4 linked regions of the Stegostoma tigrinum genome follow. The protein of the gene in region 3 purifies or fractionates together with the protein of the main gene of each other region. This does not show direct contact. Links are inferred from orthologs where the notes say so. Each region holds a gene or a part of one and is shown on either strand. Other genes may lie near its edges. The genes, in order: upf1, ncbp3, rbm8a and upf2.

Region 1 (7,636 bases), on a different chromosome or scaffold from region 3:
CCCATCTTGTTTTGTGTCATCTTCGATAGCCAGAGACTTTTCCCCAGGGCAGGATTGACTGCCATGAGGGGTCATAGTTTTAAGGTGTTAGGGGAAAGGTATAGAGGAGACGTCAGAGGCAGGTTCTTCACCCAGAGAGTTGTGAGCGCGTGGAATAGTTTACCAGTGGTAGTCATGGAAGCACAGTCATTAGTGACATTTAAGCGACTGCTGGACATGCACATGGACAGCAGTGAATTGAGGGGAATGTAGGTTAGTTTATTTTATTTTTGGATTAGGATTATTCCACGGCACAACATCATGGGCCGAAGGGCCTGTACTGTGCTGTACTTTTCTATGTTCTATGTTCTATCTACAAACTTGGAAATATTACATTTGGTCCCTATATTTGAATCGTTGATATAGATTGTGAAAAGCAGAGATCCATGCATTGATCCTTGAGGTACCCCAATAGACATTGCCAATTTGAGAGTGACCCACCTGTCTCTCCCTGCTCCTCATCTTCTTTTTACATACGTATAATAGCTTTACAATCCATGTTTATATTTCTTACTAGCTTATGTTCACAATTATTCCCTTTCTTTATCCATTAAAATTAATGAGAAAAATAATCACCAATTAAACAACTGCTGGTTTTCCTGTGTTATCCCATTTTGATTTTTTTTCCTCAACTCAGTCAGTCCACATTGCAGCCAGACTAAACTGGATTGGATGTTGCACCACGCTGTTCTGTTCACATTCTTGCCTCTCACGCTATTCATGCCGCCACCCTCACGCTGTTCACATCCACTCCACACCACGTCCCCCACACACTGGTCCTTTTCATTCACTGCAACCCCACTTTACCTCTGTTCCTGTCTAACCACTTGGCATTCACACCCTTCTACCTGAGTTAACATGATGTTTGACATGGCGGATCTCATGCAGGTGGTAGTGTTCCCAAGCATCTGCTGCCATTATCTTTCTATAAGTAATAGGGGGTGGGTTTCTAAGGTATTGTCAAAGAAGGCTTGGTGAGGTGTGGCAGTTCATCTTTCATTTGATTTGATTTATCGTTGTCGCATGTATCTAAGTGCAAAAGTTGTGAGTAGTACAGGTAAATGATAGCAAACAAGGATATACAGATCATAGACAGAACGAGGCATACAGGTTATGGCTGCACAGAAGGTGCAAAACCAAGGTCAAAACTAGCAAGATAATAAAATGTGAGGCTGGATGAACACAGCAGGCCAAGCAGCATCTCAGGAGCACAAAACTAGCAAGATCAACATTATTTGAAATTAGAGAGGTCCATTCAGCAGTCTAACAACTGCAGGGAAAAAGTTGTTCTTCGACTTGTTGATGTGTGTTCAAGCTTCAGTGTTTTAAATGGTACCAGTCAAGATTATGATGAAATATTCTCTGCTTACCTGGACAAATGTGGCTCCATCAACACTCCAGAAGTTTAACATCATTCAGGGCAAAGCAGCCTGCTTGACTGGCACCCAATCTGACACCTTCAATGTTCACTAGTGACATACCATCTACAGGGTGCACTTCAATAACTGACCAAAAGGTCCTTATTGAAGTGGGGAAACACTCAGCATTGGGTGAGGTTGCAGATGGCTTGGGGAATGCATTGTTCTAGAGGCTTTGATGCTGGGACAGACGTACTGAGAGGTAAGGTGTCAGTGAGACAGGAACACTGAGCCAAGGACATTTTTTTATTGCTTCATGGAATGTGGGCTTTGACTCTTAATTATCTGGCTGAAGACAGATTCTCGAGACCTTTTAACTATTGGTGGACAAAAAAGCAGACCCTGAATCCACCTCAGTTTCAACATGGATTCAATCCAACACTGTTGCTGGCTGATCTACATGTTAGTCATGTAGCCAACAGAATGAACCTGGGTGGGGGAGGAAAGGGAAATAGGGTGAAATTGTGTATGAGCGAGGGAGATGAGGGATTGATGTGGATGAGAGGGTGGTTGAGCAGGAATGATAGGGGTTTGAAGGTGCCCAAGAACTAATGAGCAGGGTGAGGGTTGGGTGAGAGCAGTGAGTGAGGTGATGGTGAAGGTGGCAGTTGGTGTGAAACAATAAATGGTGAGATTGGTCGGGTGTTGAGAGTGGTCAAGGGGATAGGAAGTATTGAATATGCAGGTGGAATGAGGGTTATTTGTTGTGTAGTTGGGGGTGTTTGGTGATTCGGTGAGTGAGATTGAAAGACTGGATTGGTAATGTGGAGGAATGAGGTTTGCAATGTTGGGGTGATGGATGACATAAGGCTGGGTGATGATCATGTGGGTGAGACTGAGGGGTTAGGGAGATAGATGAGAGAGGGATGATATTGGGGATATGGAGTAACTTAGTTTGAGAAACTTGGTCAACATGGGTGTATTGTACTGAAGAATTTGTTTCCATGCTGTATGACTATGTTAAACATGTGGATGCCGGGATGTGAGTGCTGTTGGGGTGGATTACGTGAATCAGGTTAAGTGGGTGAGTGTGGGAGGAGGCTGGGATTTGGGATGATGAAAGGGGGCTAAGGTGGCTGTGGTTGAGTTGGGTGATAGAATGAGGTGTGTTTTGGGTTTGGGTGGGCTGTTTGAGGGAAGTGGGCATGTGGGTGGGCTGGATGTAGTGGAGAGGACTTGGGCTGTGTAAGGGGAAATAGAGGGGTAGCTTTGAGGTTGTAGGCATGAAATGATGGTGCTGTGGGGTATGTTGGTTTGTGTAAAGTGGGGAGTGGGATATTTGAGTGATGGGGAGAGGAGAGGCGGTTTAAGGGCCCTGGGTTATTGGGGATGGGTGTGAGTGGATTTAGAAGTCTGTTTGAGGGTGTTAGAGGACATGAGGAGTGGGAGTGTGAGGGGTCTGTGGGGGTTGGTGGGCTATGAGGAGTTAGGACGTGAGTGGTTGGAGTTGGTGGTGTGTGTCTAGGGAGTTTGGTGAAGTTTGAAGGGGTGTGAACTATGTGGGTGTGAGGGCACCAGTGGGTGTGAGGTGATGAAGTAGGTGGGTTGTGAAGAGATTGTTGGCATATGATAATAAGGGATGTGGGGGGACTGGGGTTGGAAGTGTGAGGGGGTGGGATAACAGGGGGTTAGTGGGGTGATAATAGATGTTGCTGTTGGGGTAGGTGTGGGCTGGTGGTAAGGTTGTTGCGGTGGTTAACATTGTGGAGTGGGAGTGCAGGAAGGTGGGTATATGTGAGGGTAGACAGTTACTGGTCTGTGAGGGGGTTGGTGGTAATAGAGTGCTGGATAGTGGATGTAAGGGGGAGGAGGAGGGGTGGAGATGGGGGTTATAAAGGCATTGGGGGTTGGAAGTGGTGATGGTGGGGACGGTGGTTATGATCTGAGGATGTGGTGATGGTGGGTCCAGGGCTGGGGATAATAGAGTGAGTGTGGAAATGGTGATGCTGGGGGTTAAGGGTGAGGATTGGAGATGGTGGGGATGAGGGTGGGGAGGGGACAGGGTGGTGAGAGTGAGGGTTGGCATGGAGCAGGGTGGTGAGGGTGAGGGTGGGCATGGGACAGGGTGGTGGGGTTGAGGATGGGGCAGGGTGGTGGGGGTGAGGATGGGGATTGGACAGGGTGGTGGGGGTGAGGGTGGGGATGGGACAGGGTGGTGGGGATGAGGGTGGGCATGGGGCAGGGTGGTGGGGGTGAGGGTGGGGATGGGACAGGGTGGTAGGGGTGAGGGTGGGCATGGGGATGGGGCAAGATGATGGGGGTGAGGGTGGGGATGGGGCAAGATGGTGGGGGTGAGGGTAGGCATGGGGCAGGGTGGTTGGGGCGAGAGTGGGGATGGGACAGGGTGGTGGGGCTGAGGGTGGGGATGGGGTTGGGGCAGGGCTGAGGATAATAGGGTGAGTGTGGGAATGGTGATGGTGGGGGTTAAGGGTGAGGATTGGGGATGGTGGGGGTGAGGGTGGGGATGGGACAGGGTGATGGGGGTGAAGCGGGGATGGGGCAGGGTTGTGGGGGTGAGGGTGGTGATGGGGCAGGGTGGGGGGGTGAGGGTGGGGATGGGGAAGGGTGGTTATGGGGCAGGGTGGTGAGGGAGAGGGTGGGGATGGGGCAGGGAGGGGGGTGAGGGTGGGGATGGGGCAGGGTGGGGGGGTGAGGGTGGGGATGGGGAAGGGTGGTGATGGGGCAGGGTGGTGAGGGAGAGGGTGGGGATGGGGCAGGGAGGGGGGTGAGGGTGGGGATGGGGCAGGGTGGGGGGGTGAGGGTGGGGATGGGGCAGGGTGGGGGGGTGAGGGTGGGGATGGGGAAGGCTGGTGATGGGGCAGGGTGGTGAGGGAGAGGGTGGGGATGGGGCAGGGAGGGGGGTGAGGGTGGGGATGGGGCAGGGAGGGGGGTGAGGGTGGGGATGGGGCAGGGTGGGGGGGTGAGGGTGGGGATGGGGAAGGCTGGTGATGGGGCAGGGTGGTGAGGGAGAGGGTGGGGATGGGGCAGGGTGGTGGGGTGGGGCTGAGGGTGGGCATACTGCGTGTGGGAGGGAAGATTGGGTTTGTGGGTGTCGGGGTAAATTTCTCCCGCCCACTCACTTAGCGCCGCTCTCCTGTGGATTACGGCATCGCTTCTTGCTGGCGATGACGTCACCACAGGTCCGGGCGCAATGACGTTTCTGCGTGCGTCACGACGCTGTGTGCACTACGTCAGCGCTGCGGGGGAGTTGCGGCTCTCGCTGGGTTTCTCGGGCCGCTGCCGAGCGATCGATTCCCGAACCCGCGCCTACCGGCCCTTTCGCTGCCCGGCTCCCCGCCGAGTAGGCTCAGCCAAGGCCCGGCCTCGCTTCGCTTCTTCTCATCCGCCCGGCGCGTGCTGCGCAGCGGTTGTTCCCAGGGTTTTGAATCGCGCCGGGGGCGAGTGCGCGCTCCCGAGCCGTGGCCGCCATGAGTGTGGACGCGTACGGGCCGAGCTCTCAGACTCTCACCTTCCTAGACACGGAGGAGGCCGAGCTGCTTGGGGCCGATACGCAGGGCTCCGAGTTCGAGTTCACCGACTTCACTTTACCGTCACAAACACAAACACAAGGCCAGAGCCAAGGGCCCATCGAAGGCCAGGTAAGGAGCGACGGGGCTTCCCGCACTTCCCCCCCCCCCCCCGCAAGGAAAACACGCCAGTCCCAGGCCGCGCGGCCTAAACACAGGATGTACGAACTAGCCCCCTTCCCCACTCGAGCCTACTTTTCCGTGCGGGCTCTGAGTGTAGTCCCTCGTTGCTGCTTCAGCTTCGGCTGTCGGGTTTGTCGGCTAGGACCCACATGGAGGGCAGGAAGCGGAGGCGAGAGGTGGCGAAGGCTGGGCCTTCAAAGGCCCGATTTTTTTTGTGGTGGGTGGGTGTGGGGGTAGTCACTCTTGCTGTCTCCCTGTGTCCCTTCCCTTTCCCCCCACCCGAGCCACACTACCTTCACTCCCGACAGACCTGATATGTCCTTCCTCTTCTCCCCACCCTGTGCAGTACCCCGATGGCACTTAATGCTAGTGGAAGCTGTAATAGATACGATGGGAATATACGGAGTGAGGAGCTGTTGAAGTGTTGGTTGGAGGGAGTAGTGCAAGTGGGCTGCTGGTCTGAGAGAAGGTTGTTGGAATTAAGGGAATGAGGCTGGAGCTCCCTGATATGCTAGATCGATTTTTGTGTTTTGTGTGTAAGTGCTGATGTGAAAATACACAGGATTCTCCACATTCTGATTTCCCTGCTGCTGCTTCTCAACTTCATGAAAATAAGCCCCAATTCAACTGAACTCCTGTTGCCAGCTCCATTGGGTTCATTTTAGTTGACATATGCAACCTGAGGCTTTGGGACAATGATAATTTGGTGAAGTGAAGACCCTCCACCTAACCACCCAAAAGCAGATATCAGGTTGCCACTGTTTTGGAAGTGAGAGAAAACTTGCAAAATACCTGTTCTTGTTTAAAAGTGACAGTTGGTTGCATCAGCAGCAGGAATAAGTGCAATAAAATTCCATGTAAAGATTCTGAGTGACCCACCTTTGGTATTAGAGTATTACTACTCTACAGTGGCCTGAGAGAATAGGCATTGTATAATCCAGAGACGATGAAAATTGCAATAAGTGCAGGTAGGAAGACAAGTTAGATGTTTTGACTTCAACAAGAATTATTGGACTTGTGGGTGAATCATGTATTTGTAGTTTAGTTGTTTTGGCCATTAGAACTTGTGAAGTTGTTGAGGTCAGAGTAAGTCCCCATATACTCGGTCCTCAAAACATCAGGGGTAAAACAACTGAGGGAACAGTTGTGTGGATTTCTAGCGTGGGGTATATTTAGAATTCTTAAAGTTCAGTTGAAGTGGTCGTATGTTTCTCAAAGCTCATGAAAACACCACACTACATTTTATAAGCTAAGTATTTATTTGAACATTATAGTTGAGCCAAAATTACAGTTTGAACCATTTCAATATTGTATTGATGTACCGTGATGCTGGGGTAGTAAATAATGGGCTTGGATTTGAGGCAAGTACTGAATGCTGTTTGTTGTTCTGATGTACTGTCATACCTGTCAAACATTTAATCTCACTGGAAAAATAGCATGTTGAAGGAGCTATGACTTGCATTTAACCACACACCTAAGACAGAGGGTAATGACCAGCATTGCAGCTGTGTGTATTTGTATGTAAATGTACAATATAGAACAGTATAACAGAGGAACAGGCTCTCTGGCCCACAATATTCTGCCAACCATGCTGCTGTCATTAACAAATCCCATCTGCCTGCACAAAGTTCATATTCTGTTATTCATGTGACTGCCTAAATGGTGCTTAAATGTTGCTATCGCATATCCTTCTGTTACCTACTTTGGCAGCGCATTTTGGGTACCTGCCACCTTTTTATAAAAACATTTATTTCGCACCTATCCTTTTAAACTTTCCTCCCTCACCTTAAACCTGTGCGTCCCAGTATTTGACATCCGAATCCTGGGGAAAAAAGACTCTGAGGATTCACTCTATCCATGACTTTCTAATTTTTATATACTTTTATCAAGCCATTGTTTTCCCCCTTCCTACAAAAACTTCGATCCTAACAAAAACAGTTTGTCCTGACCCGAAACGTCAACTTTCCTCTTCTCTGATAATGCTTAGCCTGCTGTGTTCCTCCAGCTCCAAACTGTTATCTCTTGACTTCAGTATCTGCAGTTCTTACTATCTCTGAGTTAAGTTTGGCCAGTCTCTCCTTATACCTAATATACACCAGTCCAGGCAACATCCTGGTAAACCCCTTTTTGCATACTTTCCAAATTCTCAACAGCAATCCTTTTGTGTGGTGACTAAAATTGTGCGCAGTACTCTAAATGTGTGTGTAAGAAGCAGTATAATGCTTCATTAGAAACTTTTTAATTTTGATTCTATGGTTGCAGTTTAGGTTAAGGTGTGCTTATGGACATGTTTTATGTTTGACTGGCAATATGGCAGGGGGCACGTAACCATGTCCAATGAATTATTGTGGGGGGAAAAAAAACTCAGGTTGGTTGTGATGCTTCAAGCTGTTTAAGATATATTCTGTCAGCACAGTCCTGACTCAAAACGTCAACGTTTGTACTACTCTTTTGCCTGGCCTGCTGTGTTCCTCCAGTTCTAAACTGTTGTTATCTCTATCCAGTAACATGGTGTTTTTGGTGACCTCT
Region 2 (7,926 bases), on a different chromosome or scaffold from region 3:
CCCCAAACCCTCCTCCAATACACCCCAAACACTCCCCAAATACACGCCAAACGCTCCCCAATACACCCCAAACACTCCCCCAAATACACCCCAAACACTCCCCCAATACACCCCAAACACTCCTGAAATACACCCCAAACACTCCCCAATACACCCCAAACACTCCCCCAAATACACCCCAAACACTCCCCAATACATCCCAAACACTCCCCCAATACACCCCACTCCCAAATAAACCCTAAGCACTCCCCCAAATACACTCCGAACACTGCCAAATATACCCTAAACAATCCCCCAAATATACCCTAAACACTCCTCCAGTACACCCCAAACACTCCCCCAATACACCCCAAACAGTCCCCCCAGTACACCCAAACACCTCGAATAAACCTTAAACACTCCCCCAAATATACCCCCAACAATCCCAAATAAACCCCAAACACTCCCCCAAATATACCCCAAACACTCCCGAATAAACCCCAAACACTCCCCCCAGTACACACCAAACACTCTCGAATAAACCTTAAACACTCCCCCAAATATACCCCAAACACTCCCAAATAAACCCTGAACACTCCCCCAAATATACCCTAAACACTCCCCCAGTACACCTCAAACACTCCCCCAATACACCCCAAACAGTCCCCCAATACACCCCACTCCCAAATAAACCCCAAACACTCCCCCCAGTACACCCAAACACTCTCGAATAAACCTTAAACACTCCCCCAAATACACCCCAAACACTCCCTAATAAACCCCACACACTCCCCCCAGTACACCCAAACACTCTCGAATAAACCTTAAACACTCCCCCAAATACACCCCAAACACTCCCCCAATTACACCCCAAACACTCCCCCAAATACACCCCAAACACCACCCCAATACACCCCAAACATTCCCACAATAAACCCCAAACATTCCCACAATAAACCCCAAACATTCCCCTGAACACATCCCACACACTCCACGAATACACCCGAAACATTCCCCCAGTACACCCCAAAAATTCCTAACAAAACCCCATGACAGGAGGTTTGAAGCCTCATGCCTCGATAACAGGCCATTACCCCTGCACAGGGTCAGTGCAGTCTCAGGCATCGTGGGTATGGCCTGTGCTGTAGGAATGTCCTTCTTACTCCACCAGGGTCAGCACCTCTACCTTCTCCCTGACACCTCACACTCACTCAATCTTGCTGTCAACCGAGTCTGGCCCCTGGCACCACTCACGCTGTATGCCCGCTGCACCGAAGACTCCACCTCTCACTGCGCCAGCAGTATAAGCCATCCAACACATCTCCCTTTATCGATGCCAGTCCCTCAGTCCAGACAGCCACGATCGGACACAGCCTGGACAGCTGTTTGGCTGTCTGGCCTGTATCCTGATCCTGACCCTGACCACCCCGGCTGGATGACCAAACATCTCTAAAGCCCTCAGCCTGGCACCAGAAGCTATCCAAGCCTTTACTGTGCCAGGGGCCCCTGAGCTGAAGGAGGTCTCTCGGGATGCAGCCGATAACCATCCCAGGCCTCCCAGCTTTGTGTCTGTGCTAAAGGTGAAGTCCTGTACAGGATGAAGTCAGGAATGCGATGGAATACTCCCCACGTTCCCTGGATTGGGGCAGCTCCAACAACACAGGGTGGCACGGTGGCTCAGTGGTTAGCACTGCAGCCTCACAACGCCAGGGACTCAGGTTCGATTCCAGCATCAGGCGACTGTCTGTGTGTGGAGTTTGCACATTCTCCCCGTGTCTGCGTGGTTTTCCTCCGGGTGCTCCGGTTTCCTCCAACAGCCCAAAGATGTGCAGGCTAGGTGGATTGGCCATGGGAAATTGCCCGTAGTGTTCAGGGGTGTGTGGGTTATAGGGGATGGGTCTGGGTGGGACGCTCTTCAAGGGGCAGTGTGGACTTGTTGGGCCGAAGGGCCTGTTTCCACACTGGAGGGAATCTAATCTAATCTAAAAACACTCAAGAAGCTTGGCACCCTCCAGGACAAAGCAACCGCTTGATTGGCCTCACACCCACAAACACCCACTCCCCCCGCCACCGACACTCAGTAGCAGCAGTGTGTACCATCCCTAAGATGTACTGCAGAAATTCACCAAAGATCCTCAGGCAGCATTTTGATTGATTTGTTATCATCACATGTACTGAGATACAGTGAAAAGTATTGTTTTGTATGCTCTGCAGGCATCAGGGTAGCCGTACAAGAGTGCAGGATAGTGTTACTGCCACAGGGAAAGTGCGGAGAGAGATCAATATCAATATTTCATAAGTCTTCTTCAAAAATCTGATAAAAGCAGGGAAGGAGCTGTTCTTCAATCTGTTGGTACACGTGTACAAACTTTTATGTCTTCTGCCCGACAGAAAAGGGTAGGAGGTATAACCGGGGTGAGATGACCTTTGTTTATGCCAGTTGCCTTCCCGAGGCAGTGAAAAGTATTGATGGAGTCCGTGGATGGGAGGCTGGTTTGCACCGTGGACTGTAGTTCCTGGTGGTTTCGGGAAGAGGAGTTGCCATACCAGATTGCATCCACTTAGGATGCTCAATGTGGTGCAGCAACGCAAACTGGTAAGGTGTCTTTATAGACGTGGTGAATTTCCCTAGCCTCCTCAGGAAGTACAGGCTTTGCTGTGCTTTCTTCACCAAAAAGCATCAACACGGATGGACCAGGACACACTGATGGAACTTGATGCTTTCAACCATATGCAAACAGAGGCATGCCCTCCACTCTGCTTCCTGAAGTCAATGACCAGCTCCTTTGTTTTGCAGACACTGATGTACAGAGTCTTGACTTTACACCACGCCATTAAACACTTTACCTCCTGCTTGTACTTCTTTGCATCACTGTTCCCAATTCCACCTATAATGGTGGCGTCATCGGCAAACTTATAAAAGGATTTGGTGTGGAATCTGGCCACACAAGTGTGTGTCTCAGTATAGTAGGGGGCTGAGTACACACCCTTACAGGGCAGCAGTTTTGAGGATGGTCAGCTCTGCTTACTAACTGCAGTCCGTTGGTCAGCAAGTTGAGAATCCAGTTACAGAGGGAAGAGCAGACACCTTGGACCTGGAGTTTGGAGAGGAGTTTGTTTGGAATTATGGTGTTGGAAGGCAGAGCTGTAATCAATAAGAAGCTTGTCCTGGGTATCCCTCCTTGTCCAAATGTTCCAGTATTCACAGTCTGCCTTGGAGAGTTGCACCAGTAGGCCATCTACAAGGGATCAAGATTACATGGGGGAGGCTAGAGGTAATTTAAGCTATGTCCAGCTTCATAATTACCAATGTCAGAGCACCAACCAGGAGTCATTGGGGCATGCTGCACCAGTTTTCTTTGGCACTGAGATGATGGCAGTCTTCTTAAAGCAGGTTGGGACTTCAGATCACAGTAGAGAGGTTGAAGATGTCTGTGAATACTCCTGACAGGATTCACACCATTCTGCTAGAATTTGGTTTTACCTCATAGAATCATCCAGTACAGAAGAGGCTCTTTGGCCCATCAAAAATTTGCTACAACCTATACTAGGCCTATAACTTTGAATGCAATGATATTTCAACTGCTCATTCATGTAGTTTTTAAAGGTTTGAACTTCCACCTCAACTACCCTCCCAAAGTGCTTTCCAGTCCCGCACCATCCTCTGGGTGAAAAGGTTTTCCTCAAATCACCTCAAAGCCCCTTGTGTGTAACTTTATAATTATGCATCCTCATTGTCGACCTTTCAACCCTACTTTCTATTCATTCAGAGATAGTAAAAACTGCCGATGCTGGAGTCAGTGAAAACACAGGTGGAGCTGGAGGAACACAGCAGGCCAGGCAGCATCAGAGGAGCAGGAAAGTTGACTTGAGATAATGGGAACTGTAGAAGGGTCCATGCCCAAAACGTCAGCTTTCCTGCTCCTAAGATGCTGCTTGGCCTGCTGTGTTCATCCAGCTCCACACCTTGTTATCTAAGAAAGTTGGTCTATTGGGTTGGGACCCTTCAAATGGGGCTCGAAATGTCAACTTTCCTGCTCTTCTGATGCTGCCTGGCCTGCTGTGTTCCTCTAGCTCCATGCTGCATTATATCTGCTTTCTATTCATTCTATTCACACCCCTCAATCTTATAGACCACCACCGAGTGCCCCCTTGACCTTCTGTGGCCAGCCTTATTACTGATTCAGCTCCACTGTCCTCAAGCAGAAGCCAATGTCCTTCTTTGTCAGGGTTCAATATTCAGGAAACTTGTCCAGCTCAATTCCATACCTTCCCACAATTGCAAACCTTCATGATCTTGAGAAAAATCTCATCATTTATAGATCTTTCGACAAGACTTTCAAAATGTATGACCATGACCAATCTAGAAGCTTAAGGGTAGGAGATGCATGGGAACACTACCGTCTGAAAGCTCGCCTCCAAGCTACTCACCATTTGTCTTGGATATATATCGCTGTTTCTTCACAGTTGTTGGGTCAAAATCCTGGAATTCACTCCCTAATAACATTGTGTGTTGTGTCAGCCCACAGCACATTGACGGCAGTCATTAAAAAAGGCAGCTCACCAGCACCATCTCAACGGGCAACTAGGGATGGGCAATAAATGCTGGGGCCAGCCAGCAATGCCCACATCCCACTAGACAATTCAGGAATAATGCCAGGTGGCTGAGGTTTTGGATGGCTTGAAAAGGGCACTAATCATGGGCAGTGAAAGTTTGGAGAGTGTTGGATTGGGAAACTGTCCTGATGGAAGCTTGGGTCAGGCTCAGTGCCAACTCATGGGGCAAAGGGTGGCACTTGATTGATTTGACATTCCAGCTGGAGGGGGCAGTTACTCTCCAGGCCGCAGGGAGGCGCTGCGATCCGCTCACTGCAAACTACGGCGAGCTGAGTAATCTCTTGCCGCGCGTTGCACTCCTCAGCATTGGATGGTACGCCGGCCGTGGCGGCAGGTGGCACCTCTTGCCTTTCCCTCGGCGACTCCTTGTTTGTCATGGCGGCGGTGCGGGGCCTGCGGGTCTGTTTGGAGCCTGGGCCTGGGGCAGAGGGGGCCGCCAGCACCGAGAGGGATGACGAGCCCATGGAGGTGGAGGAGGGGGAGATCGAGCCCGAGAGGCTGGACACCATCTCAGTGCGGAGGTCGCTCAAGGACCTGATCCCGGTGAGGAGAGGCCCAGGCCTCGGGCCCGGGTTTGGGGGGGGGGCGGGAATCACAAAGGCCTCGGAGAGGTTAGAGTGAGGAGGGAAGGACAGGGTCAGTGCTGAGGGAGCGGGCACTGTCGGAGGGTCAGTGCTGAGGGAGAGGGCACTGTCGGAGGGTCAGTGCTGAGGGAGCGGGCACTGTCGGAGGGTCAGTGCTGAGGGAGCGGGCACTGTTGGAGGGTCAGTGCTGAGGGAGTGGGCACTGTCGGAGGGTCAGTGCTGAGGGAGTGGGCACTGTCGGAGGGTCAGTGCTGAGGGAGTGGGCACTGTCGGAGGGTCAGTGCTGAGGGAGTGGGCACTGTCGGAGGGTCAGTGCTGAGGGAGCGGGCACTGTCGGAGGGTCAGTGCTGAGGGAGTGGGCACTGTCGGAGGGTCAGTGCTGAGGGAGCGGGCACTGTCGGAGGGTCAGTGCTGAGGGAGTGGGCACTGTCGGAGGGTCAGTGCTGAGGGAGTGGGCACTGTCGGAGGGTCAGTGCTGAGGGAGTGGGCACTGTCGGAGGGTCAGTGCTGAGGGAGTGGGCACTGTCGGAGGGTCAGTGCTGAGGGAGCGGGCACTGTCGGAGGGTCAGTGCTGAGGGAGCGGGCACTGTCGGAGGGTCAGTGCTGAGGGAGCGGGCACTGTCGGAGGGTCAGTGCTGAGGGAGTGGGCACTGTCGGAGGGTCAGTGCTGAGGGAGTGGGCACTGTCGGAGGGTCAGTGCTGAGGGAGCGCCTCACTGTCGGAGGGTCAGTGCTGAGGGAGTGGGCACTGTCGGGGGGTCAGTGCTGAGGGAGTGGGCACTGTCGGAGGGTCAGTGCTGAGGGAGTGGGCACTGTCGGAGGGTCAGTGCTGAGGGAGTGGGCACTGTCGGAGGGTCAGTGCTGAGGGAGTGGGCACTGTCGGACGGTCAGTGCTGAGGGAGTGGGCACTGTCGGAGGGTCAGTGCTGAGGGAGTGGGCACTGTCGGAGGGTCAGTGCTGAGGGAGTGGGCGCTGTCCCCTCCGAAGCCTCTGTTTTGACTGAGTGAGACAAATAATAACTTTTCCGGTGAAATTCTCAGTGGCCTCGCTCCGGATGAGCACTTTTTCTGGGGATTTTCGCACTGGCAGTTTGGGATGTGGATTTGTGGACACTCTGCGTATCGTGCGTTGCAACAGCAGCTTCACCCTCGCAATGAAATTGTGGAAATAGCTAATTTTACTCTGTTCTGTTGTCATGTTTTTATCTTCTGGTTTTGTAATGCTGATTGGCTGGGGCTGTGGTGGCTATCTGGGCATGAGCTGAGGCATTGGCTACTTTAAAATATGCCAAACTGAGCTCCTGTTTTGGGTGGAGATTGTTGAAAAGTGTTTAGTTTGGTAAGTGTAATGTTGTCTGGGTGCTGCTGGTGACTTTATGGTGTTGGTTCCCAAGCTGATGATCTCTCCATCAGAGGGACTTCAAATCATGTTTTGATCTGTTGACAACTCAGAAATCAAGGTTGATTAACTCCCACCAAGCACTGACCCCTTGTATCCCACACTGTCTGACCTGCATTGGCTCGTGTTCGAGCAGCAGTGCGTTTTCAAAATTTTCATCCTCCTTTGTGAACTCATCCGTGGCTTTGCCTCTCATCATCTGTACGATTTCCCTCAGCACCACACAGCTCCAAGATCTCTGCTCCTGCAGTTTTGGCCTCGACTGGGAACGTCCTGAGTTCAATCCCTCCCTCATTGGCTGCTGTACCTTCAGCTACCTGCGCTCTGAGCTCCGTAACTTTCTCCTTAAATCCCTCAGCTTCATTCTGTTCCTCTTTAAGATGCCTGTTAAAACTGCCTTTGACCACAGTTCTGACCTGCTATCTCTTTGTGGCTCAGTGTCATACTTGTATTTTGTAATGCTCATATGAAGTTCCTTGTGATGTTTTGGAGCAGTAACTGAAGGTAGATGTAAGTTATTGCTGATTACTGGGAATAGTTTAAAACTCTGTACTCATCTGCCAAGTTACAAGACACCTTGGTTTTATTACATCCAGCAACTTAAGACCATAAGACATAGAAGTGGAAGTAAAGCCATTCGGCCCATCAGGTCCACTCCGCCATTTAAATCATGGCTGATGGCCATTTCAACACCACTTCCCTGCACTCTCCCTGCAGCCCTTGATTCCTTTTGAGATCAAGAATTTGTCGATCTCTGCCTTGAAGGCATCCAATGTTCCGGCCTCCACTGCACTCTGTGGCAATGAATTCCACAAGGCCACCACTCTCTGGCTGAAGAAATGTCGTCTCATTTCAGTTTTAAATTTACCCCCTCTAATTTTAAGGCTGTGCCCATGGGTCCTAGTCTCCCCACCTACGGAAACAACTTCCTAGCGTCCACCCCTTCTAAGCCATACATTATCTTGTAAGTTTCTATTAGATCTCCCCTCAACCTTCTAAACTCTAATGAGTACAATCCCAGGATCCTTAGCCGTTCATCATTCGTTAAACCTACCATTCCAGGGATCATCCATGTGAATCTCCGCTGGACACGCTCCAGGGCTAGTATGTCCTTGTGTGTTAATGCTTTTAATGCTCATTGCCTTCTCCTTTGTATCCATACCCTGATTCCAGTTTACTCCCAGAGTTTCCCTAACAAACATGTAAAGAAATGAAAGATAAGCCAGTATAAAGCCAATTTTTGAACCTTCATATTTTTATATCCACTAGCGCTCCTTCATGTTCTTTTTGTAGACGGGGTTGTTAAGGGATTTAGAATGCTTACCTTTGCTCAGATCTTTGAGTCTCGG
Region 3 (7,948 bases):
ACAACTGAGATGATTGAACCAGTCAGGGGTGGGTTTTGGGGACAGGGTGCCTGAGACCAGAGGACACGGTCTCTGAATGCAAGCAGGTCATTTAAGAGGTGTGGAAGAATTTCTTCACTCTGTGGGGCTGTGTTTGGAATTCTTATCCCCAGAGGGCTGAGGAGGTTCGACCTTTGAGCAGGTTCAAGCCAGAGATCCATAGCTTTCCAGGGATTAAAGATCTGGAGGCTTTATGGGCAGAGTGTGGAATAGCAGCATTGAGATAGAAGATCAGCCATGATCTTGTTGACTGGCAGAGCAGATTTGAGGGGTGAAATGACTTTCCTTGTTCCTGCATCACCCTGTCCACAGTGACCCACACGGACAAATATCACATACACTAAGCCCTTACACCCAGATGTAAGCAATTCTGACAATATCACTGGAGCTGTCAATCTGCACCATTTTTGCAGGCTATCCTGACATGCCTTATTCTCTGCTGGAATTTTGACAGGACTGACCTCGTCACCTCTCACTCTGATCCACTTATTACTTCTGACTTGGCTGAATTTATACACTACACAACTTGTACCGAAGCCAGCGTTTTAGATTAAAAAGCAGTATTATATGTTTGATACATGGTGACTGATAGCTCACTACTTTGCACCTAGCCATTTGATCAAATAAAATTTTTATTGGATTCCTGGGTGTCCTTTCTGTGTTGAAAGCTTGCTTCGCTGTTTGGGCCTGGCCCACTTCCGAGAGGAGCCTGCCCTTACAATCCAGCCTTCCAGGTCAGCCATTCCAGACGCACATGCATGAGTTTGTTTTACACACACACTCACATGCGTCTCCCTCAGCGACTCGCAGACACACACACACACACACACACACACCCGCATATTTTAGTCCCCCATGATTGTTGTAATAGTGCCTTCCTTACATACCTTGTCTATCTCCTTACTTATTTGCGTCCCCACATACTAACTACAGCCAGGAGCCTGAAAATATTTCCCATCAGGGTCTCTTTTCCTAAGTTCTACCCATACAGATTCTGTGCCTCCCAACTCTATACCACTTCTTCTGTACCAATTTAATTTAATTTAATTTCTTACTAACAAGGCAGCCTCACCCCTACTGCCCATCGGCTTGTCCTTTTGATAGGATGTGCATCCTTGGATATTTAGTTTGCACCCACGTCTCTGAGATACCCACAACATTCTACCTGTCATTTTCAATCTGCACTACAAACTCATGTAGCTTGTTTCATGTATTGTGTGCATTTTATGTACAATACTCTTAGTCCTACATTGACACCCTCACTGTACTTGTTCCCTTACCTGCTGAGCCTGAAGTTTGATTCCTGCCCATTCCACACTCTCCATCCTATTACTTGTTCTGGCAAGTTTAATAACCTCTGTTGAGCCCTCCCCTCTTTAAGATTATCCAAAATTTTCCATACAATTTAGTATCCCTCCCTCGCTCCCCCACCACCATACTTCAAGTGGAGCCCATCCCATTGAAACAGCTCCCTCCTTCCCAATACTGGTGCTAATGGCCCATGAATTCAATATTTCCCACACCAATCTTTCAGCCACGTGTTTAACTCTTTAATCTTGTCGACCCTGTGCCAATTAGCTCATGGCTCAGGTAGTCATCCAGAGATGATTGCCTTTTTGGTTCTGCTTTAATTTAGACCCTAGCTGCTCATGTTCCCTCAGCAGAAGCTCTTTCCACTTTCTGCTTGTATTGTTGGTACCGACGTGGACCACGACAACAGGATCCTTCCCCTCCTCTGCAGCCCAGATGAGAAATCCTGAATCTGGGCACCAGGCAGGTAACGGAGCCTTCAGGACTCTCGATCCTGGCCACAGAAAACCGTGTCTATTCCCCTGATGATACGTATCTGTGTTTAAAACTGAATTTCTCTTTTCTTGCCCTTCTTGAATGGCTTGCAGTACTGTAGTGCGAGTTTGCTCATCTTCCCTACAGCCCCCACTCTTGACATGCAGGGAGCAAGAATCTCAAACTTGTTGGACAAGCTCAACTGCTGAGGCTCCTTCAGCACAACCTCCCAGATCCCTTGACCTGTCTCACCCATTGCATACCCTTCTGTCCTTGAAAGAATTTGAGGTAGTTAATCTAGGGGGTGTGACTGCCTCCAGCATCCAGGTAAATCTTATCCCCCTCCCTGATGTGTAGCAGTGTTCATAGCTCAGACTCTAGCTCCATGAGTCTGAGCCTGAGTTCCTCAGAATGTGGTCATTACTAGCGACATTGAGATCCCCCAGCTTCCACAGCATGCAATTATAAAACATCACCTGGCCTGGCACCTTAGTTTTTAATTTGATTTTTCAAAAATATTTCATGCTGCCCTTTGGGTTTGTTGCCTGTAAAACTTCTATCTGAAAGTGATGTATAATAGTCAAATCAGTAGCTAGCACCAATCAATGATTTTACCTGTGATTTCACTCTTTTGTGCTGGCCCCCTGATCCTGGGCTTTAATTTATCCTGATTAAAATAAAACTTAAACCAAGAACCAACAAAAAGCAAGCAAACAGCATCTCAGCCAAGGATTGGCAGATGGAATTTAATCTAGATAAATGTAAGGTGTTGTATTATGGTAGGGGAAATCTAGGCAGGAGTTGTACACTTAATGATAAGGTCCTGGGGCATGTTGCTGAACAAAGAGACCTTGGAGTGCAGGTTCATAGCTCCTTGAAAGTGGAGTTGCAGGTGGACAGGGCGGTGAAGAAGCTGTTTGGCACACTTGCCTTTATGGGTCAGTGCGTTGAGTATAGGGAGTTGGGAGGGTCATGTTGCAGCTGTACAGGACATTGGTTAGGCCACTTTTGTCATACTGCATTCAATTCTCGTCTCCCTGCTGGAGGAAAGCTGTCAGATGTTAGGGTTCATAAAAGATTTACAAGAATGTTGCCAGGGTCGAGCTATGTGGAGAAGCTGTTTAGGCTGGGGCTATTTTCCCAGGGGGGGCTGGAGACGGAGGGATGATCTTAAAGAGGTTTATAAAATCATGAGGGGCATGGATAGGTTGAATACTCAAGGTCTTTCCACCAGGGTAGGGTGGTCCTAAACTAGAGAGACATAGGTTTAAGGTAAGAGGGGGGAAGATTTGAAAGGGACCTGCGGGGCAACATTTTCACACAGAGGGTGGTTGCGTAGACAGAACAAGCTGCCAGAGGAAGTGGTGGAGGCTGATACAATTACAACATTAAAAAGACATCTGGATGAGTAAAATAAATAGGAAGGATTTACTGAGATGTGGGCCAAGTGGTGGAAAATGGGATTAGATTAATTGAGGATATCTGATGGGCATCTGGCTGACTGGTTGGACTGAAGGGTCTGTTTCCACGCTGTATATCTCTGTGGCTCAACGTGAGACCCAGTACAGAACCCAAGGAGATGCCAGTCATGAGTCAATTGTCCGGGTCTGTTCTGTACAAATGAACTGGACCAACTAGCACCCCATTGGTCTACTCCTGTTCATTAGGGAGGGGGGGATTTTGAAGCTTGTGAAATGCACATTGATACCATTGGGCTGCAAGGTTCCGAAGCGGAATATGAATTTCTGTTCCTGCAACCTTCGGGTGGCATCATTATTGGCACTGCAGGAGGCCCAGGATGGACATGTTGTCTGAAGAGTGGGAAGGGGACTTGAAGTGGTTTGCGACTGGGAGGTGCAGCGATTTATTGCGAACCGAGCGTAGGTGTTCTGCAAAGTGGTCCCCAAGCCTCGTTTTGGTTGCCCTGATGTAGAGGAGGCCACAACGGGTACAGCGGATGCAGTACACCATATTAGCAGATGTACAGGTGAACATCTGCTTGATGTGGAAGGTCTTCTTGGGGCCTGGGATGGGGGTGAGGTGTGGGGGCAGGTGTAGCATTTGCCGCGGTGGCAGGGAAAAGTGCCAGGTGTGGTAGGGTTGGAGGGGAGTGTGGAGCAGACAAGGGAGTCGCGGAGAGAGCGGTCTCTCCGGAAGGCAGACAAGGGTGGGGATGGAAAAATGTCTTGGGTGGTGGGGTCGGATTGTAGATGGCGGAAGTGTCGGAGGATGATGCGTTGTATCCGGAGGTTGGTGGGGTGGGACATGAGGACGAGGGGTATTCTGTTTGATTGTTATTGCAGGGATGGGGTGTGAGGGATGAGTTGCAGGAAATGCGGGGGACACGATCGAGGGCATTCTCAACCACTGCGGGGGGGAGGTTACGGTCCTTGAAGAACGTGGACATCTGGGATGTGCAGGAGTGGAATGCCTCATTCCTGGGAGCAGATGCGGCGGAGGCAGAGGAATTGGGAATAGGGGATGGAATTTTTGCAGGAGGGTGGGTGGGAGGAGGTGTATTCTAGGTAGCTGTGGGAGTCGGTGGGCTTGAAATGGACATCAGTTTCTAGCTGGTTGCCTGAGATAGAGACTGAGAGGTCCAGGAATGTGCTGGAGATGGCCCAGGTGAACTGAAGGTTGGGCTGGAAGGTGTTGGTGAAGTGGATGAACTGTTTGAGCTCCTGTGGGGAGCAAGAGGCGGCGCCGACACAGTCATCAATGTAACGGAGGAAGAGGTGGGATTTGGGGCCTGTGTAGGTGCGGAAGAGGGACAGTTCCACGTAACCTACAAAGAGGCAGGCATAGCTGGGGCCCATGCGGGTGCCCATGGCCACCCCCTTAGTCTGTAGGAAGTGGGAGGAATCGAAAGAGAAGTTGTTGAGGGTGAGGAGAAGTTAAGCTAAGCGGATGAGGGTGTTAGTGGTGAGCCTGGCCCATGTGAGGAGTTGATACTTCACTGAGTTGAAGTGGAGCAGCATATTAGTGTGGACTAACCCATCCTCAACGCCATCTTGGGTCTGGACAAGGTCGTGGGAACCAAAGCCTCAACGCGCAGGCGTCGGCATCGGCGTCAACGCCATCGCGTCATGCACGCCTACCGGAAACAACGTCAGTGCCCCACCCCCATAGAACACCGCACCTCCCCGCCCCCTCCCCAGAATCCATTGCGGCGGCAAGATGGCGGACGTGTTGGATCTTCATGAGGCGGGAGGCGAGGACTTCGCCATGGACGATGAGGGTGACGGTAAATAAAACACCTTCCCGCTCCTCCGCAGTGTCACCGACAGCCAAAGACTCCGGATTCATACCGGCCCTGCCCCGCTCCCCCTTCCGCCTGAGTCCACCCCCCCACACTGTCCCAATGAGACTCCATCCCCCCCCACACTGTCCCAATGAGACTCCATCCCCCCCCCCACACTGTCCCAATGAGACTCCATCCCCCCCCCACACTGTCCCAATGAGACTCCATCCCCCCCCACACTGTCCCAATGAGACTCCATTCCCCCCCCACACTGTCCCAATGAGACTCCATCCCCCCCCCACACTGTCCCAATGAGACTCCATTCCCCCCCCACACTGTCCCAATGAGACTCCATCCCCCCCCCACACTGTCCCAATGAGACTCCATCCCCCCCCACACTGTCCCAATGAGACTCCATTCCCCCCCCACACTGTCCCAATGAGACTCCATTCCCCCCCCACACTGTCCCAATGAGACTCCATCCCCCCCCACACTGTCCCAATGAGACTCCATCCCCCCCTCAGACTGTCCCAATGAGACTTGATCTCCCTGACGTTGGATGCCTTCAAGGCAGAGATCGACAAATTCTTGGTGCCACAAGGAATCAAGGGCCACGGGGAGAGTGCAAGTACGTGGAGTTGAAATGCCCATCAGCCATGATTTAAATGGCTGATGGGCCGAATGGCCTTACTTCCACTCCTATGTCTTATGGTCTTATGGACCCTGTCCCAATGAGACTCCTTCTCCCCTCGCTCCCAATGAGACGCGATCTCTCTCCTCACGCTGTCCCAATGAGACTCGACCCTGTCCTAATGAGACTCGATCCCCTGACCCGGTCCTAATGAGACTCGATCTCCTGACCCTGTCCCAATGAGACTCGACCCCTCCCCACACTGCCCCAATGAGACTCGGTATCTCCCCTCGCAGTATCCCAATGAGACTTGATCCCCCTGACCCTGTCCCAATGAGACTCGATCTCTCCCCTCACAGTGTCCCAATGAGACTCGATCCCCCGACCCTGTCCCAATGAGACTCAATCTGTCCCCTCACATTTTCCCAGTGAGACTCGATTCCCCCACACACATGCGCGCACACTGCCCAGCAAGCCTCCATCTCCCTGACCCTCTCCCAATGAGACTCGATCCCCCGATCCTGTCCCAGTTAGGCTCAATCTCTTCCCCCCCCCACACTGTCCCAGTGAGACTCGATCCCTCCCACACTGACCCAGTGAGACTCGATCACCCCCCCCCACACTCTTATGCGCACACTGTCCCAATGAGACTCAGTCCCCCTGACCCTGTCCCATTGAGAGCCTTAATCCCTCCACACTACCCCAATGTGAATCAATCCTCTGACCCTGTGATAATGGGAACTGCAGATGCTGGAGAATCCAAGATAACAAAGTGTGGAGCTGGATGAACACAGAAGGCCAAGCAGCATCTCAGGAGCACAAAAGCTGATGTTTCGACGAAGGGTCGAGGCCCGAAACGTCAGCTTTTGTGCTCCTGAGATGCTGCTTGGCCTGCTGTGTTCATCCAGCTCCACACTTTGTTATCTTCAATCCTCTGACCCTCTTTGGTTGACACTTGATCCCCTAGACTCATCCCAAAGACAGTTGACCCCCCCAACACTGTCCAATGAGAGCCAATACCCCTGACCTTGTCCTTATGAGAATCTATCCCTCCCATACTCTCCCAATGAGACTCGATCCCCTCCACACTGTCCCAATGAGACTTGATCTTTCAACTGTATCCCAAAGAGCCGTTTCACCCCAACCCTAAAAGGGAATTGATGCACCTGACCCTCTGTCTATGAGAGTCAATTCACCCTGATCCTGTCCCAATGGGAATTAATTCCCGATTTTCTGAAAGAGAGTCCATCACGTGACCATGTCCCTATGGGAATCAATCCGCCCTGACCCTGTCCCAATGTGAGTTGATCCCCCGATACTGTTCCAATGAGATTTGATCATGAAGTAAATACAGTTTGATTCATCTGCTTTACCCCATTCTCTGCTGTGCTTTTGCCTGTCTTTCTATTTAACTCGCTTCCTCTAATTCCAGCCATCCTCGGCCATCATTTGTTTTGTTGCTAGTGCTTAGGATCCTCCCACCCTTCCTCCATTCTAGTTTAAAGCGTCCCAATAGTAACACGAGCAAATATCCCTTCTCCAAGTTTAGTTGGATTTTTGGAAAGCTTTCAATAAGATCCCGTATAAGAGATTAGCATGTAAAATTAAAGTGCCTGGAATTGGGGGCATGTACTGATATGAATGGAGAACTGAATGGCAGACAGCAAGCAAGGAGCAGGAATAATTGAGTTTTTTTTTCAAGTGGCAAGCAGTGATGTGTGATAAGGTTCGGTGCTTGGACTGCAGTTTTTCACAATATATATTAATGATTTGGGTAAAGGAATAAAATGTAACATCTGTAGCCTGCAGATGAGACAAAGCAAGTTGGGAAGGTGAACTGTGAGGAGGATGCGGAGATGCTTCAGTGTGATTAGGACAGCATTGAGTGAGTGGGAGATGCTTGAGCGATGAAATGTAATCGAGATAAATCTGAGGCTATGCACTCTGGCAGCAAAAACAGGGTGGGAGATAATGTATTCTCCGAATTGTGATAGATGACGAAGGGGGGAGGTGTGAGAAGAACTGGATGGCCTTTTGCACTCGTCGCTGAAAGTAAGCATTTCAGGAACAACAGGCAGCGAAAGAGGCAAATGGTGTGATGGCCTTCATAGCAAGAGGATTCAAGTACAGGAGGGATGTCTTGCTGCAGTTGTACATGGCCTTGGTGAAACTACATCTGGAGTATTGGGTGCAGTGTGGCCTCTGTATCTCAGGAAGGACTTCCTGGTTATGGAAGGAGTGCAGTGAAAGTT
Region 4 (7,213 bases), on a different chromosome or scaffold from region 3:
GCTAAACACATGAGAAACATTGTTGTGACGGCTAACTTTGCCATCCTAACTGTGAGGTCAACCCAAGGACTGAATCTGATCTGGAAGATAACTTACCAGGAGAAGGTAGAAAGCTTCAAGTGTTTAACACCACATTCCAGTAAACTAGGCACACTTCATCAGGTAACAATTGCCTGTTGTCAAATCCAGGGGAGTCCAGTGCACTCTAAAATTATAAAATGCAGTTTAATTTCGATGTACAGGTCATATCATTGTCACCATATATGGAAACAGGCAAGATCACATTTATGCACATTATGAAATCAGTAATATGTTTTCGAGCACAAGCTTTGACAAAAATCATTTCTAGGTATATTAAAATTGGCCTCTGAACAAACAGATCAAAGGCAGCAAGGTCTGCTGATTCTGGTTGCTATAATTTAGTAAAATTGTTTCATTGTGATGATGATGCAAAGAACCAAATTTTGAAACCATTCCAGTTCTTGGATTTTTTCATCCTATAATAACAACACCTAAATATACTGTGGTTTTAAAAAGTCTCACAAAAAAAACTAGAGAATATTAACCAAGAATAGGACACACAGAAGTCAACAAGGTCTTGAGTGGAGGACTGGGAATAATTTCCATTGGTTGGTGAGTTTCAACATAAAAGCATCAATTTCAAGATCTTCACAAATAAAACAAAGGTGGTCAGGAGGACTACTTTAGACAGAGAATTATAAGGGAATAGAATGTTTGACCAGAAACAGTGCAGAACCCGAACCCATGCTGACATTTGAAAGAGATGGGGAAAGCATTTAAAGTACGCAAAGAAACTGAACAGTTGGCAAGCTCCTACAGTCAGCACAACTTGATGATTAGCCGTCCCAGCTTTATAAATTCTGAGACTCTAAAAACAAATGGGATTCTTCACATTTTTTAACCAACTATCAAGCCAGTGATGTTGTGCAAGGAAATACAAGGTCACAACTACCGCAGGTGTCAATTCCAGTTGAAAACAACTTCTGTTCTCTCAACTACTGTGGTATCAAATCCTACCTTATACCAGCGTATCCGTCAAGTCATAAGATTAGTCTCAGAAGGAACTGAGTAGGTAAAATGGCTGCCTCAGTGTAGCTCACCACAATTCTGCAAGGACAAGACATTATGTCACTTTTGTTTAATTCAAAGAAATTCATGCTCCAAAATCAAATTGTTATCCTACTTTAATAGAAAAATTAATGCATGGTTTCCTCAACACAAGTATCTTTTGAATACAAAATATTATAAGTAGACTAAAATAAATAGTAATACTAATTTGCTTAAGGAACAATGTATATAGCTCACCATATATATCTATCAACATTACATTTTCAATAAAATTTCCCATTATATTAGAATTTAAAAGTTAAAATCAGCTCATTTAAACATCCCTTATGTTTTTACTTCAAAATCCCATACCAGTCATAACATTACATTAAAACGATGGTGAAGAATACAAAGGCAAAGAAAACAAATCGCTGGAATAACTCAGGAGGTCCAGCATCGCAAAGAGAAAAACAGGGTTAACTTTTGAGTCTTGCGACCCTTGAAAGATTAACCTTGTTTTCTTTTCACAGATGCTCCCAAACCTTATCTCCAGCATTAGCAGTTCTGTATGTGATTTTAGTGAACAACACTCAATAGTTGGTTTCATTTGACACCTCTCCATTCTATAATAAACAGGAAACACAGGATGTGTTTATTACCTAAATATTTACTGCAAAATACTATAACATAAACAAGTTGCACTGGACCCAAAACCCAATACCAATGGCTTCAAAATGGGTCAGTTTCTGTTTAGAGACCATAAGCTTTGGAGCAGAATAAGGCCATTCAAATTGTGGGTGATATAAAAATGAAGGTGAGGGGGTCAGATATTGTGATCAGAAAATACGACATTTCCCCATACTTTTGAAAGTCCATTAACCACAGCATTGATTAAACACACTGTAGATGAGCAAAGGGCAATGGTATTACCCTGGAAAAATCTAGAATGAAGAGGAAGGAGTCAATATCAAAATAACTATTCAGGTTGAGTGTGATGGGATGCAGTGGGAAACTTAGAAATTGAGGGCAGGTCTTCCCAAATCCAGTGGATAGAGATTGGGAAGTGAGGGAGGGGAGAGGAGAAAGGGTAAAGGGGGCAAAAGAGGGCAAAGGGGGCAAAGGGGGCAAAGGGCAAAGAGGGCAAAGAGGGCAAGGGGGAAAAGAGGGCAAGGGGGCAAAGAGGGCAAGGGGGCAAAGAGGGCAAGGGGGCAAAGAGGGCAAGGGGGCAAAGAGGGCAAGGGGGCAAAGAGGGCAAGGGGGCAAAGAGGGCAAGGGGGCAAGGGGGCAAAGAGGGCAAGGGGGCAAGGGGGCAAAGAGGGCAAGGGGGCAAAGAGGGCAAGGGGGAAAAGAGGGCAAGGGGGAAAAGAGGGCAAGGGGGAAAAGAGGGCAAGGGGGAAAAGAGGGCAAGGAAAAGTGGAGAGGGGAGAGGAACCCCACGCACACCTGGAGCTGGGTGGTGGGTTGTTGGGGGGGGGGGGGAGAGACGGTGATTTGGTGAGAGCCCTGGCTCCGGGTGACGGATGGCACAGGCCCCGGGGGCCACAGCCACTGGCAGCGGAAAGTCACAGAGAGAGAGACAGAGAGAGATCGCACAGAGCCGGGTGTCCCGCTGCGGAAAGGCGCAGTTACCGGCTCCCGGAGGTGTCCCGGGTGATAGGGAACGGGCCAGGCTGCAGTTCGAAGCGGGCACACGGAGAGCCGACAGCGGCGGAACTGACACCAACCTCCGCCTCCCCTCCCCCCACCGCCCCAGTATCAGGACCCCGCCTGCACGGCCTGACCCGACAGCCGCCTGACCAGCACCTGCGCACGGTCACGACAAAAACATAGGCTGCTGCTCGTATCGCATCGAGGGGGGGCGGCAGCAGGATGTCAGGCTCACTGGCGATAGACAGCCGCCGCCGTTTGATTTCTCTCTCTATCTCTCTCCACGAGAGACAGGCGCTCAATAGGGCTAGAGGCGTCAGGGAAGCCCCCTGACTCCGCCCCCCCCCCCCAGCATCTGCCAGACGCGGGGGGGGCGCAGAGGAGGGCAATAGGGAGCGGGGGTAATAGACACCAGGGGGGCAATAGGGACTGGGGGCAATAGGGACCAGGGCAATAGGATGGGGGGGCAATAGGGACTGGGGGTAATAAAATAGGGGGGCAATTGGGACCAGGGCAATAAGATAGGGGGCATTAGGGACAGGGGGCATTAGACACCAGGGGGGCAATAGGGACCAGGGCAATAAGATAGGGGGCATTAGGGACTGGGGGCAATAGGGACCAGGGCAATAGGATGGGGGGGCAATAGGGACTGGGGGTAATAAAATAGGGGGGGCAATTGGGACCAGGGCAATAAGATAGGGGGCATTAGGGACAGGGGGCATTAGACACCAGGGGGGCAATAGGGACCAGGGCAATAAGATAGGGGGCATTAGGGACAGGGGGCATTAGACACCAGGGGGGCAATAGGGACCAGGGCAATAAGATAGGGGGCATTAGGGACAGGGGGCATTAGACACCAGGGGGGCAATAGGGACCAGGGCAATAAGATAGGGGGCATTAGGGACAGGGGGCAATAGACACCAGGGGGGCAATAGGGACCAGGGCAATAAGATAGGGGGCATTAGGGACAGGGGGCAATAGACACCAGGGGGGCAATAGGGACCAGGGCAATAAGATAGGGGGCATTAGGGACCAGGGCAATAAGATAGGGGGAACAATAGGACAGGGGGAATAGGGACCAGGGGTAATTCAATGGTGGGAATAGGAACCAGGAAGGGAATAAGATGGTGGGAATAGGATGGTGGGAATAGAATAGGGGTATATTGACCGGGGGGTGGGAATAGGATAGGGGGAGATAGGGACGGGGGCGTGGGAATAGGATAGGGGGGTGGGGGGAACAGGATAGGATAGGGGGTGGAAGGGAGGATGGAGATGGTGTGGGGGATGGAAGGGAGGGGTTGGAATGCGTGGACTGAGGGGAGGATGAGTATGGGAGGAAGATAAGACAATGCAGGGCAGATGGGTGGATAGGGGAGGGGCAGGTGAAGGGAGAGGATAGGATGAGATAGAAGGTAGATGGAGAAGATGAAGGGGAAGCAGGAAGGTTGGAGGGGAGGGGGAGATGGTGGGGGAGGGCTGTAAGTGATAAGGAAGATACAGGAGGTGGTAGGAGGATGAGGGGGTGTGTGTTATTGGGATGGTGGAATGGGAGGTAGTGCAGAAGGAGTGGAGTTGAGTGATAGGGAGGAGATTAGGAGGAGAGTGAGAGGTCTAGGATATTGTGAGGGGAAGTGGAGGAGAGAGTGTGTGGCTGGAGCAGGCTAGTGGGAATGAGGACTGCAGAGGTGTTAGGCAATTGGGGGAGGGGGACTTGGGCAGCAGCATGGAGAAACGGGAATTAGTGATGAATTAGGGAGGGAGAGAGTGAGGTGGGACGGGATGTGAAGGAGGAAGACAGTTTAGCGTAGGAGAGCAGAAGTTAGATTAGATTAGATTAGATTCCCTACAGTGTGGAAACAGGCCCTTCGGCCCAATGAGCCCACACCGTCCCTTGAAGCATCCCACCCAGACCCATCCCCCTATAACCCACACACCCCTGAACACTACGGGCAATTTAGCATGGCCAATCCACCTAGCCTGCGCATCTTTGGACTGTGGGAGGAAACCGGAGCACCCAGAGGAAACCCACGCAGATACGGGGAGAATGTGCAAACTCCACATGGACAGTCGCCCGAGGCGGGAATCAAACCTGGGTCCCTGGCGCTGTGAGGCTGCAGTGCTAACCACTGAGCCACCATGCTGCCTCATAGCATCGGGGGAGGTGTTTTGATAGGCAGATGTAAGGGTAGAGGCAGTAGTTGTGAAGGAGGGTGAGAGGAGGGGTAAGGTATGTATGAGGGGCAAGGGAGTGTGAGAGGGGAGGAGAGAAGCTCAACTGACAGGCTTTTAGTCAAGCATTGCCGCAGTTTTAAAGTTCCAGTCATGAATTTCAAATTCCTCCGTGATCAAGCTCTTCCATTTCTCCAAAATTTCTTCCAGTTCTGCAGCCCTGACTCTCCACTTCTGGCCTATTAAGTAACCCTGATTTTAACTACTTTCCCATTGACAATCATGCCTTCAACTGGTTCTTGGCACTAGGATTCCTCCTTTTAACTCCTCTGTTTCTCTTTCCTCTGTTAAAATCAAATCTTTGACAAAGCATTTGGACACCTGAGATAATGGGAACTGCAGATGCTGGAGAATTCCAAGATAATAAAATGTGAGGCTGGATGAACACAGCAGGCCAAGCAGCATCTCAGGAGCACAAAAGCTGACGTTTCGGGCCTAGACCCTTCATCAGAGAGGGGGATGGGGAGAGGGAACTGGAATAAATAGGGAGAGAGGGGGAGGCGGACCGAAGATGGAGAGTAAAGAAGATAGGTGGAGAGAGTATAGGTGGGGAGGTAGGGAGGGGATAGGTCAGTCCAGGGAAGACGGACAGGTCAAGGAGGTGGGATGAGGTTAGTAGGTAAATGGGGGTGCGGCTTGGGGTGGGAGGAAGGGATGGGTGAGAGGAAGAACCGGTTAGGGAGGCAGAGACAGGTTGGACTGGTTTTGGGACGCAGTGGGTGGGGGGGAAGAGCTGGGCTGGTTGTGTGGTGCAGTGGGGGGAGGGGACGAACTGGGCTGGTTTAGGGATGCAGTAGGGGAAGGGGAGATTTTGAAACTGGTGAAGTCCACATTGATACCATTAGGCTGCAGTGGGAGGAGTCCCGCAGGCCCGACCAGTCCCCCTCCACCGACACTCTTATCCGCCTAGCTGAACTCGTCCTCACCCTCAACAACTTCTCTTTTGACTCCTCCCACTTCCTACAGACTAAGGGGGTGGCCATGGGCCCCAGCTATGCCTGCCTCTTTGTAGGTTACGTGGAACAGTCCCTCTTCCGCACGTACACAGGCCCCAAACTCCACCTCTTCCTCCGGTACATTGATGACTGTATCGGCGCCGCCTCTTGCTCCCCAGAGGAGCTCGAACAGTTCATCCACTTCACCAACACCTTCCACCCCAACCTTCAGTTCACCTGGGCCATCTCCAGCACATCCCTCACCTTCCTGGACCTCTCAGTCTCCATCTCAGGCAACCAGCTTGTAACTGATGTCCATTTCAAGCCCACCGACTCCCACAGTGGACCTAGAATACACCTCCTCCCACCCACCCTCCTGCAAAAATTCCATCCCCTATTCCCAATTCCTCCGCCTCCGCCGCATCTGCTCCCACGATAAGACATTCCACTCCCGCACATCCCAGATGTCCAAGTTCTTTAAGGACCGCAACTTTCCCCCCACAGTGATCGAGAACGCCCTTGACCGCGTCTCCTGTATTTCCCGCAACACATCCCTCACACCCCGCCCCCGCCACAACCGCCCTAAGAGGATCCCCCTCGTTCTCACACACCACCCTACCAACCTCCGGATACAACGCATCATCCTCCGACACTTTCGCCATTTACAATCCGACCCCACCACCCAAGACATTTTTCCATCCCCACCCCTGTCTGCTTTCCGGAGAGACCACTCTCTCCGTGACTCCCTTGTTCGCTCCACACTGCCCTCCAACCCCACCACACCCGGCACCTTCCCCTGCAACCGCAGGAAATGCTACACTTGCCCCCACACCTCCTCCCTCACCCCTATCCCAGGCCCCAAGATGACTTTCCACATTAAGCAAAGGTTCACCTGCACATCTGCCAATGTGGTATACTGCATCCATTGTACCCGGTGCGGCTTCCTCTACATTGGGGAAACCAAGCGGAGGCTTGGAGACCGCTTTGCAGAACACCTCCGCTCAGTTCGCAACAAACAACTGCACCTCCCAGTCGCAAACCATTTCCACTCCCCCTCCCATTCTTTAGATGACATGTCCATCATGGGCCTCCTGCACTGCCACAATGATGCCACCCGAAGGTTGCAGGAACAGCAACTCATATTCCGCCTGGGAACCCTGCAGCCTAATGGTATCAATGTGGACTTCACCAGTTTCAAAATCTCCCCTTCCCCTACTGCATCCCTAAACCAGCCTAGTTCGTCCCCTCCCCCCACTGCACCACACAACCAGCCCAGCTCTTCCCCCCCACCCACTGCATCCCAAAACCAGTCCAACCTGTCTCTGCCTCCCTAA

What was found.
Region 1: the proteins of rbm8a (region 3) and upf1 purify together in Homo sapiens (co-immunoprecipitation; 7 studies listed by BioGRID and IntAct, with this or other methods). This does not show direct contact. The link is inferred for Stegostoma tigrinum from reciprocal best matches to the Homo sapiens genes RBM8A and UPF1.
Region 2: the proteins of rbm8a (region 3) and ncbp3 purify together in Homo sapiens (co-immunoprecipitation; 3 studies listed by BioGRID and IntAct, with this or other methods). This does not show direct contact. The link is inferred for Stegostoma tigrinum from reciprocal best matches to the Homo sapiens genes RBM8A and NCBP3.
Region 4: the proteins of rbm8a (region 3) and upf2 purify together in Homo sapiens (co-immunoprecipitation; 6 studies listed by BioGRID and IntAct, with this or other methods). This does not show direct contact. The link is inferred for Stegostoma tigrinum from reciprocal best matches to the Homo sapiens genes RBM8A and UPF2.

What each region holds. Positions count from the first base shown.
Region 1 is NC_081383.1:306,482-314,117, forward strand, and holds the start of upf1 (regulator of nonsense transcripts 1), read left to right. Parts: upstream 1-4,635; 5' UTR 4,636-4,885; coding exon 4,886-5,056; intron 5,057-7,636. UniProt on the Homo sapiens protein: RNA-dependent helicase required for nonsense-mediated decay (NMD) of aberrant mRNAs containing premature stop codons and modulates the expression level of normal mRNAs.
Region 2 is NC_081380.1:46,787,972-46,795,897, forward strand, and holds the start of ncbp3 (nuclear cap-binding protein subunit 3), read left to right. Parts: upstream 1-4,918; 5' UTR 4,919-4,971; coding exon 4,972-5,139; intron 5,140-7,926. UniProt on the Homo sapiens protein: Associates with NCBP1/CBP80 to form an alternative cap-binding complex (CBC) which plays a key role in mRNA export. NCBP3 serves as adapter protein linking the capped RNAs (m7GpppG-capped RNA) to NCBP1/CBP80.
Region 3 is NC_081400.1:7,593,229-7,601,176, reverse strand, and holds the start of rbm8a (RNA-binding protein 8A), read left to right. Parts: upstream 1-4,933; 5' UTR 4,934-5,001; coding exon 5,002-5,068; intron 5,069-7,948.
Region 4 is NC_081378.1:5,626,406-5,633,618, reverse strand, and holds the start of upf2 (regulator of nonsense transcripts 2), read right to left. Parts: upstream 3,008-7,213; 5' UTR 2,872-3,007; intron 2,816-2,871; exon of another isoform or gene 2,698-2,815; intron 1,129-2,697; 5' UTR 1,039-1,128; intron 206-1,038; 5' UTR 97-205; intron 1-96. UniProt on the Homo sapiens protein: Involved in nonsense-mediated decay (NMD) of mRNAs containing premature stop codons by associating with the nuclear exon junction complex (EJC).